Coturnix japonica: one gene and its partners. The protein of the gene in region 3 interacts with the protein of the main gene of each other region in a biochemical or structural test. Links are inferred from orthologs where the notes say so. Each region holds a gene or a part of one and is shown on either strand. Other genes may lie near its edges. The genes, in order: PRKN, GRM7 and PICK1.

Region 1 (4,356 bases), on a different chromosome or scaffold from region 3:
TGCAGGAAGTGTTCAGTAGTTGGAACTACTTTTGCCCTCTATTTTGCTCTTTACTTCTCAAACTGCAATCAAACTAAAATTCAAAATACACTCACTCTTTCAAAAAATCCATATACAAGAATTGCACATTTCAGTTATTTCCAGAACATCTTTATATAGAAATCAAACCCAGTAACAAGATGTACTGCAGGAGACTCTGTAACACATTGTAGGCCGTATGTACTGCACTCCTCCTGACACGGTGTTATGTAATCCTATCCTGGTTTTTAGTAAATTTAGAGGATGTGCAAAACTCAAAATGTTGTGTAAAAAAATATATTGGTCTATGGCCTTAAAGATTATCCAGAAATAGCAAAATCTATATTAAAGGTGTAAAATTGCAAATATTTACAACGTTCATTGCTCAGCAAAAAATCGCCATCATTCTCAACTATATTCGCATGCTTTTAAAGCATTTGACTCCTTTACAGCAGTCAGGTACACTTTGTGTTTGGAAAATCATTGATCCTATTGTCAGTTTAAAAATAGATTTCCTCAAACTGTATGAGCACTTTTGAATTTATGCATCTGTCACTCATAAAAAATTCAAAGGAGTATGTCTTCAGTTAGAACATTGCAGTGGGAATGGGAAATCTTCAAGAGGGATGGTTATTGCAATCAATACCTAAACAGTTCAAATGTCAGGTAGCCAGTGACTAATTGATACAAATGATTTTATTGCTTTATATTACTTGCTAATTCCTTTGCTTTGTGCTAGTGGAACTGTTTATTGGCTGAAGCAGCCCACTGGGATTGAGTGTACTGTTTATGCAGCCTTAGTGACTGGTATGGATGTAGTCAAGCTTTTCTTGTTGCATAGTTCTTGTAGTCACTCCCCTGGTCAAGGGCTCAATGAGCACATTCAGCACCCTTGTGAAAAACAACACTGCCAGCTGAATGGCTGTAAGCTCATGAGTTTATTTGCCAGGCTTCTCAGGATATATAAACCACTCTCTGCAGCTCTAAAAATGATATGGCGAGTGCGGTAGTGATTTCCTGCACTGAAGGAACATGCCAGCAGGAGTTATGTACTGCAGATGTTTTAGTGAACTCTGAAAAGACCACAGTGTAATACAACACTCCCAAACATTTCTGCTAGCGTGTGATTTTTCTCTCCATCATTACCTTCCACAGAATTGTATCTGTGGGGAACCAATTTATGTGACCGTGCTCTGCAGTATAACAGTGAATTGTTTTGCTTAGTATTATTTAATGTAACTTAGCTCTAAAACTCAGTTTTCTGCATGCATTTGTTACGTGCAGCAGGAAAGAGCACAAGGGGCATAGAAAGTGTGTGTGTCCTGTGTCTGTTAAGGTCAGTTGTGGATCAGAGATTTGTTCCAGGACTTAGTGGTTGCCTGGACTGCTGGCTGGATGGGTCCCTTTTGGTTCTGATGTTTCTCTTCAATTTATAGCTCTGCTGGGGGAAGCACGTGGCTTTTGTTTATTAGTCACTAGCTATTCTGTGAAGGGAAATCCCATACAGTTCCTCTTTTCCAAATTATACACTACAGTATTAGTAGCTTTTCTCTTAAAACAGTCAGTGCTCTCTGAAATTGACAAATAAGCCACTTGTAGTCACTCTAGTACAGACCGGCAGTGAGAAATGTTTGCTTTAAAAGGTGTTTTCTCTTTTTCAGTGTTTGTCAGGTTCAACTCAAGCCATGGCTTCCCGGTGGAGCTTGGGTTGGAAGCCAGCATCCTCCAGCTGAAGGAGGCGGTTGCGCAGCGACAGGGAGTTCCAGCTGACCAGCTGCGGGTGATCTTTGCAGGGAGAGAGCTCAGCAACGACTTAACGCTGCAGGTAAGCCTCTGTGGTAGCTTTGCTCCTGGACTGCTGCCAGCTCTGCTGCCTCTGCCTCTAATGCTGCCAATCTGACATTCATTCCTGAGATCTAATAGAATAAATAGTGCCTGGGGATTCCTTGAACTTTACTCCACACTGCTTCATTAATTCTGACCTTCTTAATTATGCATTAAAACAGCAAGCAGGAAGGATAGGGAGAGCATATGAGTGAGAGAGTATGGGAGAGAGCTGTGCCTAGTGAATAAATGTTTACTGACTACAGAAGCAAGCCATGCACAATTTCTGTATCTGTTCAATTTTTATTTTACTTATTCCATTTGAATCTTAATGAAGAAGGATGTGAATAAATTGCTTCAGATCAGGCTGCACGGTCAGCACATTCTGTAGAATTTGTAACCCAATTGTGACCCCTGGAGGATAGCTACAGGGCTGCTGCTGCTGTTCTGAATGCTGCCGTGTGCCATACACAGGTGAACGCACTGCTGGAATGATGGTTCCAGTTCTAAAAAGCTCATGGAAGTGTGATCCAAACCACCAAGCTCATAAATGTGTGAAACTGAGAGCAGCAAGGAGTGTGGAAGAATGGCTATAAGTGGGTATCTGAATTTCAGTTTTTCAAGGTTAGGTAGCTGTTCAGTTCAATAAGTGCAGAATTGTTCATCTGTGATGAGCTGTAGTAAGCATGGAAATATAGGTTCAATTTTCTCTTCCTTGTACTCTTTACTACTCTTCCCAGTGCTGCCACAGTTGCTTTATCATTGTTTTTATTTATACTATGAGTAGTGAATGTGAATTTCAGAGTATGTTCAGGAAGGGGTTAGCATAAGATCATACATCTAAGACATGTAGGAACATAGGAAAACCTAAAGGCCTTTGAATAGAGTGCTCTTGAATTTACTGCCTTAATGAAACTGCTATCCTTCTGCAGTTGTATCAAAATAACAGACACAGTCTCTACTACTGCAGGTGATTATATAAAAGGTCCCTCACAGGCAGAAGTATTTCATGTTAATTAGCAGTCGTGTTTCAGAAGTATTTCTGTAATTAAAATGGATGCTAAGTCTGGGTACAGAAGGGTTACTACTGTATTAATGACCCGTCCTATTTCTCTGTGGTTAAGATACTCAATATTTTGCAAAGGATTTTAGTGTGTTTTAGGACAGAACACAATACAGAAATATGAACTGTTGTCAGTCCACAATGCATAACCTATAGATAGCATTGATGCATATATTTGTGATGTAAACTGCAGTGTATTTCACTTATATTTTTTCACATGTGAGAAGAAAAATAGTGGAAATTACCAGATACCAGTTGCTAGTTCTGGTTGTCTGTGTTATCCTGTCCTAAGCTTATGAACTCCTAGTGTTTCCTGAGCAGCTGTAGGTATTGGTGTTACTGCTATTTTATGTCACAGACATTGAATCATGTTTTTTGCCTTTAAAAAAAATTGCTGTCAGTTACAACATACAATGCTTTGCTGTGCAAATTAAAATGTGCTTTTTGGATATAGAAGCCTGCTGACTATTTGCTTAATTTATTTAATAGGAATGACAGAATTATCAAGTGTAGCCAAGTCTTACTAATAAACCGGATCTATGTTCATTGCTGTGACTTTCATTTTCTAAAGCATATAGGATGTAAAATGGCTATTTCAGGTGGCATAATCCATATTTGTGTATTTAAGTGCCTTACATAATCCAATGATTAATACCAACATGTCAACAAGATTTTTATTCCTGGTATTTAATTATTTTAATTGTTTTTATCTATTCATTGTAGAAATTGTCAACACAAGAAGAATGGTAGATGGTTTGATATATCTGACTTTTCCTACAGAAGGCAATTTGGGGCTTTTTGCATAAGCAGCTGAGTGCTAGTGAAATAGTAACTGCTGGCATTAATGTTGCATCTGTAATATCAGAGTTAACATCACATAGAAGAAAATTAATAACAGTTGTTTTCTGGACCTAATGATTTGCATGCAGATAAAATAAAACAAAACACAACATACATTTTTACATGGCTGAATCTTAGTTCTTGGTAGCTTAGAATTTCTAATTAGACCATTTTTTCCTTTTGTTTTTATAAATTACTTTTGTGCTTACTTACCCAGGATACTGTGGGAGAATTTAGAGATTTGGAATGAGCTGGGATAATCTTAGGAGTGTGGGGCAGGGATATAAGAAATATATCCCTGGATAACAAAGTTTACTGGTTTCACAGCTTGCAGAACTGCTAGATTTGGCTTGACAGCTACTTTGGGATCTCGTGCAGGTGATACAGAACACAACTGAAAATGTGAAAACTACATTTGTTTTCCTGTTCAGAGAGAATGGAAAAATCTTTCATGGTAGCTGAATACTGTAGAAGAGAAATGCATGCTGACTGGACAAATATTAGAGAGAAATAAGGATAAGGAAGAAAATGCCAACTTGAGATCTTTACATAAGTGAAAAATTTGAGAACAACAACAGTACAAAATATCTAGGAACGACAGGAGTGAAATA
Region 2 (3,646 bases), on a different chromosome or scaffold from region 3:
AGTAGCTATCTTTTTCCTGAGAAGGTTAATTATCAGTAACGTAATTATTTTTGTACTGACTTTTATTTTAATCAAACATTGCATGAAACAATTAGGTTCAGAACAAATAGCTTATTACAGAAATGTTTGTGGTGCTGCAAAAAGAAGCAGAGATGTTTAAATTATAGTCATGTATCAACTTTATTCATTAAAATGAACAATTATGCTAGGCCTTATGAGGCAGACTGAGTATTTCTTGCTGATGTTTATTCTGGGTGAGGCTGGAAAAGCCAATCCCTCAGTGCTGTGGGTCCCAAAACAGGAGATTGTACCAAAAAAAGGCAACATCTGTATTTATTGCAAGAGTACCTTCTCAAATTACTTACTTACCGCTTTCTAAGTTATAGGATTAGAGTTTTCAGGTAATTACTTTTTTTGTTATGGGATACATGTTTCTTATATTTACTTATAAATCTTCTATAAGTGCTTAGCACTCTTCATCCATCAGTCTAAGGAAAAAATGGCAGGTCTTTGTTTGTAAACATCACTGACAATACCTCCGGTTTCTGGATGGGGAAATGGAAGAAAATTGAAGGAAGGCCATGAAGAAGTGCCTGTCCTGCTTCTCATCTGCCATCCAGATTCTGACCAGCTGCAAATTAGGTGCCAATCTTGGGAGGGAAGGCTGCAGGCAGGACTGGCACTATGCCCAGGCTGCTGAGGGCAGAAGTGAAGACCAAAAGTGCTTGCTTTCATATGGACTGCTTAAAAATACTGCTTTTATCTGAACCTAACAGCAGCAGATCCCATGGTTTGCTGCTATTAGATTGTATCGAATGAAATGCTCTGCTGTTTTGTTTTCGTTGACAGTCCTATTACAGTAATTGTGGGCAAAAATTATCCTTGCTTTTTCATCAGGTCCTGATCCTGAAACTCTGAACTTGGCAAAATCTGGAAGTAAGTCGTTTCCAGCTCAAAGAGGCCAGAAGTACTGGGGGGAAAATGTCATTAAATAGAAGAAGGTTTATAGATTTAAGTAAATAAAAGAAGGGACTGAATGTAACAATTCCTCAACACAATAGAAGTCATTTCTAGATTCAGGTTTTCAAAAGCCTGTTTCAAAGAAACCGCAGTAAAGGCTGGGAATAGGAGAATAGAATGTATGTTAGGTACAGCCATGAGCTCCCAGGGCTCCCAATACACAGCTGGACAGTTTGTTGCTTTTGTTTACACTTCTGAATGCAGTTATGAAGCAGTAATTTATGACAAAGATGGTAAAACGCTTCAAAAATACTTTGTGTGTGTTTGTGGGGAAAGCATCTCCAGTTTGGATCAGACTCTCTGCTCCCAGCGCCTTCCTCGGTGGCAGGTGGTTTATCTGACAGCAGTTTTCATTATTAATTTTCTAGCCAGAAGCAACAGAGCACCGTGAGCCTTTCTGAGGGCAGTGATACAGAGTTATCATGGCGTGGTCCCAGCAGACCAGAAAAGAACTTTCCATAATTTCGCCTGATCTCCTATTTATCTCCTCACACCGGTATCTGTGCAGAAGGAGATACCTTCAGGCTGTTCCCACTATCTGGCAGTGCACAGGATACTTTGGAGAATATGGAAATTCTCCTTTTTCTGGGTCTGGAGGCGTAGGGGGATGTGATGATGCATTAATAACTCTGTGGTTCTCTGAGCTGTGTAGAAAATTGGTGAGAACCCTTTCGTGGCTGTAGGCTGGGTCAAAATGTGTGCAGGTGGATGCTTTCCTCGTTTCATATCAATGCACGCCATAAAACCAGCATCAAGTAAATTCTGTGGTTAGTAGCTGTGATAGCAAATGGGGGCTCCAGCCTGGGCTGGCATGCCGCTCTGTGGCTGTTCCAGCACTGGTAAGGGGTAGTTGCCCTGCCTTAGCTTTCTTCTTTCCAGACAGGCAAGACAGAAAGCAGTGATAAGGAGGAATCATTCTTCAGCTTCTGTAAGCTGCAAGCCTTCAGCTCAACGCGGCATAAAGGAAGAGTTCCTGGGTCTTTTTTTCTTTCAGAATAAGCAGTGAATATTGAAGGTTAATGAAGTTTCTCGAGCAGTGGCAGACCTCTCAAATATCTGTTATTGAGGGATTATTTCTGTAACGTTGGCAGCAGACTCTCAATAGTATAATATTTGAGCAGTCTGTGGCTTTGGTGTTTTTTTCAGATATATGAAACAAAGTTGGTGCAGGGTCTATTTGGAATTAAATTAGGAGGGTGCGCCTTAATCCTTCAGTTTAAGACATTCTGACCCCAGTCTTCCTGCACACATCAATAATCACAGACAGCTGATTCCAGCAGCTCACCTTAAATTCCCTCAGTTGTAGGAAATATTGGAGCGTGTAAACACTGAAGAACCTAAATTATTAGCTGCAGTGTTGTTTTAGTTGGGCTTACTCACATCTGCCACAGCAGATCAGGTAGTGCATTCGTAAAAGCCGTGCACACACACATGTGCTGCAGGTCGAGGAGTCTGAAGCTCTTCTGTGTGGCTGAGCTGGACCTGCTGCCATGAGTCAGTGCTGGCTGTCAGGACCTCCCCGTGGTCCCAGAATGGGTTATTGCAGGGGAGCAACAGTGCTGACCCTCCTGGGTTCTTAGCATCTGGTCAGTGGCTTTAGTCTGGAATATCTAGAAATGATTTGTGACTCCAATTTTGTGCAGTATTTTGAGCACATACTTGGAGTTCAGGATTCTTCAGACTACAGAACAAATGAGATGTTCCATTTACTTAATACTGTCATTGATAATTTGCATTCCCAGGAGCATGCATGCATGGTATTTCAAATCTGGATGTGACTTTGAAATGAAATATTATCTAATTACACTGTTTTTCACTGATGACAGTTTTCTTTGTACCTCATATTTCTTACACAGCTCTCATCCCATTCTCACCAGTTCCAGCCCCTGTGTACATTTCCACCTTGTTCAGAGGGTTCCCCTGTAGCAGTTGTTCCAGGAGGGCAGAATACTTGCTGTGGTCTTGCTGAGGTGCACAAAAGGCAGTCTCACAGTGTGGTTGTTGCTTTCCCATAAGCCAAATCAAGTGCTCTCACTGATTTTCATGCAGCAAGAAGGGTTTCCACACTGCTGTTTTATCTGGCGCTGTGTCATTCTACCCAAATTTATTGCTAATAAACGTGAAAAAATGGCTGTAGTAAATAGTCTTGGGTTAGAGTCCCATATAAAGGCACTGGTGTGCAGTCTGGAAGAGCACAGTCGTCCACATATAATGTTTTCCATTTGTTTGTTGCAGTGTGCTGCCCCGTGGTCCCCCTGCCCAGCCCGGTGGTAACACCCACATAACAGCCTCCTTCTGCTTCACATGTCTCCTAGATCGACGACATGCAGTGGGGTAAAGGAGTGCGAGAAGTCCCGTCCTCAGTCTGCAGCCTGCCTTGCAAGCCCGGGGAGAGAAAGAAGATGGTGAAGGGGATCCCCTGCTGCTGGCACTGCGAGCTGTGCGATGGATACCAGTACCAGGCTGATGAGGTCACCTGCCTGCTGTGCTCCTACAACGAGCGGCCCAACGAGAACCGCACCGGCTGCCGCTCCATCCCCATCGTTAAGCTGGAGTGGCACTCGCCCTGGGCTGTGATCCCCGTCTTCTTGGCCATGCTCGGGATTATCGCCACCATTTTTGTCAT
Region 3 (4,248 bases):
GTCACTGTCCCAGGTACAGTGGGGATCCCTCTAGAATGAGAAAGGAGATGGATAGTGGAAAACTGAACATGGCAGACAGAGCTGTATCTGTACAACTGTGGTATCAGTGACGATAAAAACTGAACACATGATAGACATTGTACACTTTAATTAAGCACACTGTGCCACAGAGTCTATAAGCACAGGACAACACAGGAAGACACTCTGAGCTGTTGTTTTTGAGACTGCATGCACAGAGTGAAGGAGGGAGAGATGCAGAGGAAACACTGTTGCTTTAAACAGTGTTTGAGCTGCCTTTGTGTCAGAGTAAGAGATCAGTATGTGCAACAAAAACGAAACTCCATGCCAAAGAAACTGCTGATTTCATAAAACTTGTTCAAAAAACTCCAGTGCTCCTTACAAACCCATGGTCTCCAGAGGTTTTCTCCACTTATGGCTGCCTCGTACTGTCTTCCATTATAAACCTTTTTTTTTTTCTTCCCTCTAGCTAAGGTCACTAATTCACTGCTAGGACTACCTTGCAACAAGAAGCTCAGAGCAGTCCTTGGAGAGAGACAGCAATACTTCATCCCCATTCCCCAAGGTAGCAAGAAGTCAGGATTGAGCAGCGAGCCTGACCCTTCAGCGGGTCTTAGAATCAGAACTGTTGGTTGGAAACGAGCCTTAAAGGCCATCTGGACAAACCCCCTACAATGGAAAGAGACTCCTACATCTAGATCAGGATGCTCAGAGCCCCTCCAGCCTGACCTTGAATATCTCCAGGGATGAAGCATCCACACCCCCAGACAACCTGTTCCTTACTGGAACTCCACTAGACTTATTGGAAAGTAAGTCTACATACAGTCTAAATCTCTCTTCTAGTCTGAAACCATTTCTCCTTGTCCTATCACAAAGAAAAGAATCTGTCCCTTTTCTTCTTATAGTCTCCCTCTAGATACTGAGAGGCTGCTCTCTGGTCTCCCTGGAGCCTTCTCTTCTCCTGGCTGAACAACCCTAGCTCTCTCAACTTCCTCTCTCATAGGGCAGGTGTTCCATCCCTTTGGAACATCTCATTTTTGTGGCCCTCCTCTGCATGTGCTCTAACAGGTCTAACATGCCCACATCTCTCCTGTACTGAGGGTTCCACATTCAACTCAGTACTCTGGGAAAGGTCTCACAACACAGTGCAGAGGGGCAGGATCACCTCCCTCTCCCTAATGGCCACATTCCTTTGGGTGCAGCCCAGGACACAGTTGGCACTGTGGGCTGTGAGGGCACACTGCTGGCTCATGTCCAGCTGCCATCCATCAGTGTCCCCAAGTCCTTTTTGGTAGGGCCGTGCTCCATCCCCCAGCCTGTACTGGTAGTGGAAATTGCCACAGCCCAGGTACCACAGAATCACAGAATGACCCGAGTTGGAAGGGACCTCAAAGATCATGTAGTTCCAACCCCCCTGCCTGTCAGGGCCACCAAACATACACATTTACTACGTCAGGTTGCCCAGGCCCGTCCAACTGGCTTGAACACCTCCAAGGACGGGGCATCCACAACCTCCCTGGGCAGCCTGTTCCAGGACCTAACCACTCTCTAGTGAAGAACTTCCCCTAACATCCAACCTAAATCTTCCCTCTTTCAACTTAAAACCATTTCCCCTGTCCTGCTATTTCAGCCTTTCGAAGAGTTTCTCCCTCCTGGGGTAATTCCCTTCGGTAATGAAAGGCTGCAATGAGGTCACCGCAACCTTCTCTTCTCCAGGCTGACAAACCCAACTCCCTCAGCCTGTCCTCATAGGGGAGGTGCTCGGCCCCCTGATCATCTTTGTGGCCTCCTCTGGACCCTTTCCAAAATCTCCATGTCTTTTTGTACTGAGGGCTCCACACCTGGACACAGTACTCCAGATGGGGCCTCACAAGAGCAGAGAGGGACAATCACCTCCCTATCCCTGCTGGCCACCCCTCTCCTGATGGAGCCCAGGATCCCATTTGCTTTCCGGCTGCCAGAGCGCACTGCTGGCTCAGTTTGAGTCTTTGTCCATCAGGACCCCCAGGTCTTCTCTGCCGAGCTGCTCTCAAGGACCACTCCTCCCAGCCTGTACAGGTGCCTGGGGTTCTTCCAGCCCAAGTGCAAAACCTTACAATACCGATATGCAATACCAGACCTTGCACTTGGCCAAGTGAGGGGGTCCTTGGCCCACTGCTCAAGCCTGTCCAGGTCTCCCTGGGCCTTGTCAGCAACATGGAAATCTATCTGCTGCCATTTGTTTTGTTCTGTGAAGACTATTTCTATTGTCAGAAAAACAAAAGATGAGTGCCGTACTTACAGCTTATCCTCCTCAACATCATAATCCAAATCAGCAAACATCCTTTTCGCTAACTGGAACCTGACCGTCTGAAAGCACCTTCTTGTAAACTCCCTAGGAAGAAAGCACAGAGCAAAACCCCCGTAAGGCCGCGCTCTCTGCGGGTCACCAGGGCACCAACGTCAACTCCCACCCCATCTATTTCTGAATGACGAATGGTGCCCTGATAGAGGGCTGCAAGTAGGGACCAGGTGGCCGCACGCTCTGCTCCAGGCACAGCACCACACCCCGCGGCCCGCTCCCCGCTCACACAGCAGCCTTGTTCTGTTTCCTAAGCAACTGCCGTGCCCCCGATCCCTTATGTCCCGCAGCAGGCCCCGCTCTGTGCTCCCAGGCCCCGGCCCCGCTCGCTGCCCCGCGGCTCGGTCACACGCTGCCGCCGCTCGCCCCACATCAAAGCCGAGACCTTTAGAGGTGGCCGGGCCGACCCCGCCGCTGACGCGTCGCCGCCGGAGCCGACCGGAAGCGCGCAGCCAAAGCCCGCCCCCCTTCCTCTAGCGCCCGCGTTGCTACGGGGACGCTCCATCCGCCATCTTGAGAGTGGCGGGCTCAAGGATCATGTAGTTCCAACCCCCTGCCTGGCACAGGGCCACCAAACATACACCCTTTACTAGATCACGTTGCCGCAGGGCCCCGTCCACCCTGCCTTGAACACCTCCAAGGACGGGGCATCCACAACCTCCCTGGGCAGCCTGTTCAGTACCTACCCCTCTCCTAGTGAAGAACTTCCCCTAACATCCAACCTAAATCTTCCCTCTTTCAACTTAAAACCATTTCCCTAGTCCTGCTATTATCAGCCCTTCGAAGAGTTTACTCCCTCCTGGGAGTAAAGTTCCCTTCAGGTATTGTAAGGCTGCAATGAGGTCACCCCGCAACCTTCTCTAGGCTGAGAATTCATAGCAACACTGAATACTCTAAGTGCGAAGGGAGCCGTAGGGACCATCGGGCTCCATAAAGGACCACCTGAAAATCAGACCCTACGACTGAGAGCACTGGCTGAAAGCTCCTTAAACTCCAGGGCCTCCAAAGTTACACCAGCCGCCCAGCTGGGGTTCATTCCTAAGGCAGGAGCTCCTCCGTGTGGGCACCATCTAGAAGGCAGCGTGGCTGATGGGCTCCGCTTTTGTGCTTCCCCTCTGGTGTGTGTGTGTATTGAATATGGCCCTCACTTCATCCCGGAAGCATCCCTGAAGCCTTTGTACACGCGTGCTGGGTGACCCTGCCTTTTGTGTGCACTCAATCCGATGTGTTCGGGGTCAGTTGGATGGGCTCTGAATGAGATGGTGTGTGCCTTAGGGCTGTGTTTCTCAGTGCTAGAGATCCGGCAGATCACCTCATCCCGAGGGGGAAAAGGAATGAAAATGATCATCTGAAATAAAATCATCATCATCATAAAACATAGCACTCACTGCCTACCAGTATGCTTTGGATCAAGAGAGCTCAGCAAATACAAGGCTTTTATCCGCCTTTCGAGACTCAATACAGCAAAGTCAGGCCAGGCTCCGCCAGTCAAACTCTCTTCTGTTCATCTTTCATCACGTGTAATAAGGAGTCTGCAAGCAGATCACACGCTGCATGACTAGTTGGCTTCTTGGCACTCAGATGTATTTCCCTGCAGTGGGTCTCTGTTAAATCTCGTGTTTCTGGCTGCTTTTCTGCTACTGTTGTCAGCTTAGAGTCAACATGACTAACGCTGAGCTAACATCCTCCCCAGTCGCTGTCCTTCAAGCATGTTTTCTGTTCTGGGGGATAAGTATGGTGATTATGTTCTCGTTCTCAGGCCAACCCCTGCCTGGTACTTCACAGCTTGAGTGAATATCTCCAGTGAAGAAGACAGCGCAACCTCTCCGGGCAGCCTTATCCCTTAGGAGGTCCAGCTGTTAGTTAGATCAAGGCATTAGCCATGGAAA

What was found.
Region 1: the proteins of PICK1 (region 3) and PRKN form a complex in vitro, tested with the Homo sapiens proteins (3 studies listed by BioGRID and IntAct, with this or other methods). The link is inferred for Coturnix japonica from reciprocal best matches to the Homo sapiens genes PICK1 and PRKN.
Region 2: the proteins of PICK1 (region 3) and GRM7 form a complex in vitro, tested with the Homo sapiens proteins (2 studies listed by BioGRID, with this or other methods). The link is inferred for Coturnix japonica from reciprocal best matches to the Homo sapiens genes PICK1 and GRM7.

What each region holds. Positions count from the first base shown.
Region 1 is NC_029518.1:40,121,728-40,126,083, forward strand, and holds the start of PRKN (E3 ubiquitin-protein ligase parkin), read left to right. Parts: upstream 1-1,534; 5' UTR 1,535-1,645; coding exon 1,646-1,843; intron 1,844-4,356. UniProt on the Homo sapiens protein: Functions within a multiprotein E3 ubiquitin ligase complex, catalyzing the covalent attachment of ubiquitin moieties onto substrate proteins. Substrates include SYT11 and VDAC1.
Region 2 is NC_029527.1:16,361,687-16,365,332, forward strand, and holds part of GRM7 (metabotropic glutamate receptor 7), read left to right. Parts: intron 1-3,255; coding exon of another isoform or gene 3,256-3,294; exon of another isoform or gene 3,295-3,335; coding exon 3,336-3,646. UniProt on the Homo sapiens protein: G-protein coupled receptor activated by glutamate that regulates axon outgrowth through the MAPK-cAMP-PKA signaling pathway during neuronal development.
Region 3 is NC_029516.1:46,560,771-46,565,018, forward strand, and holds the start of PICK1 (PRKCA-binding protein), read right to left. Parts: upstream 2,833-4,248; 5' UTR 2,745-2,832; intron 2,719-2,744; exon of another isoform or gene 2,589-2,718; intron 2,393-2,588; 5' UTR 2,341-2,392; coding exon 2,300-2,340; intron 31-2,299; coding exon 1-30. UniProt on the Homo sapiens protein: Probable adapter protein that bind to and organize the subcellular localization of a variety of membrane proteins containing some PDZ recognition sequence.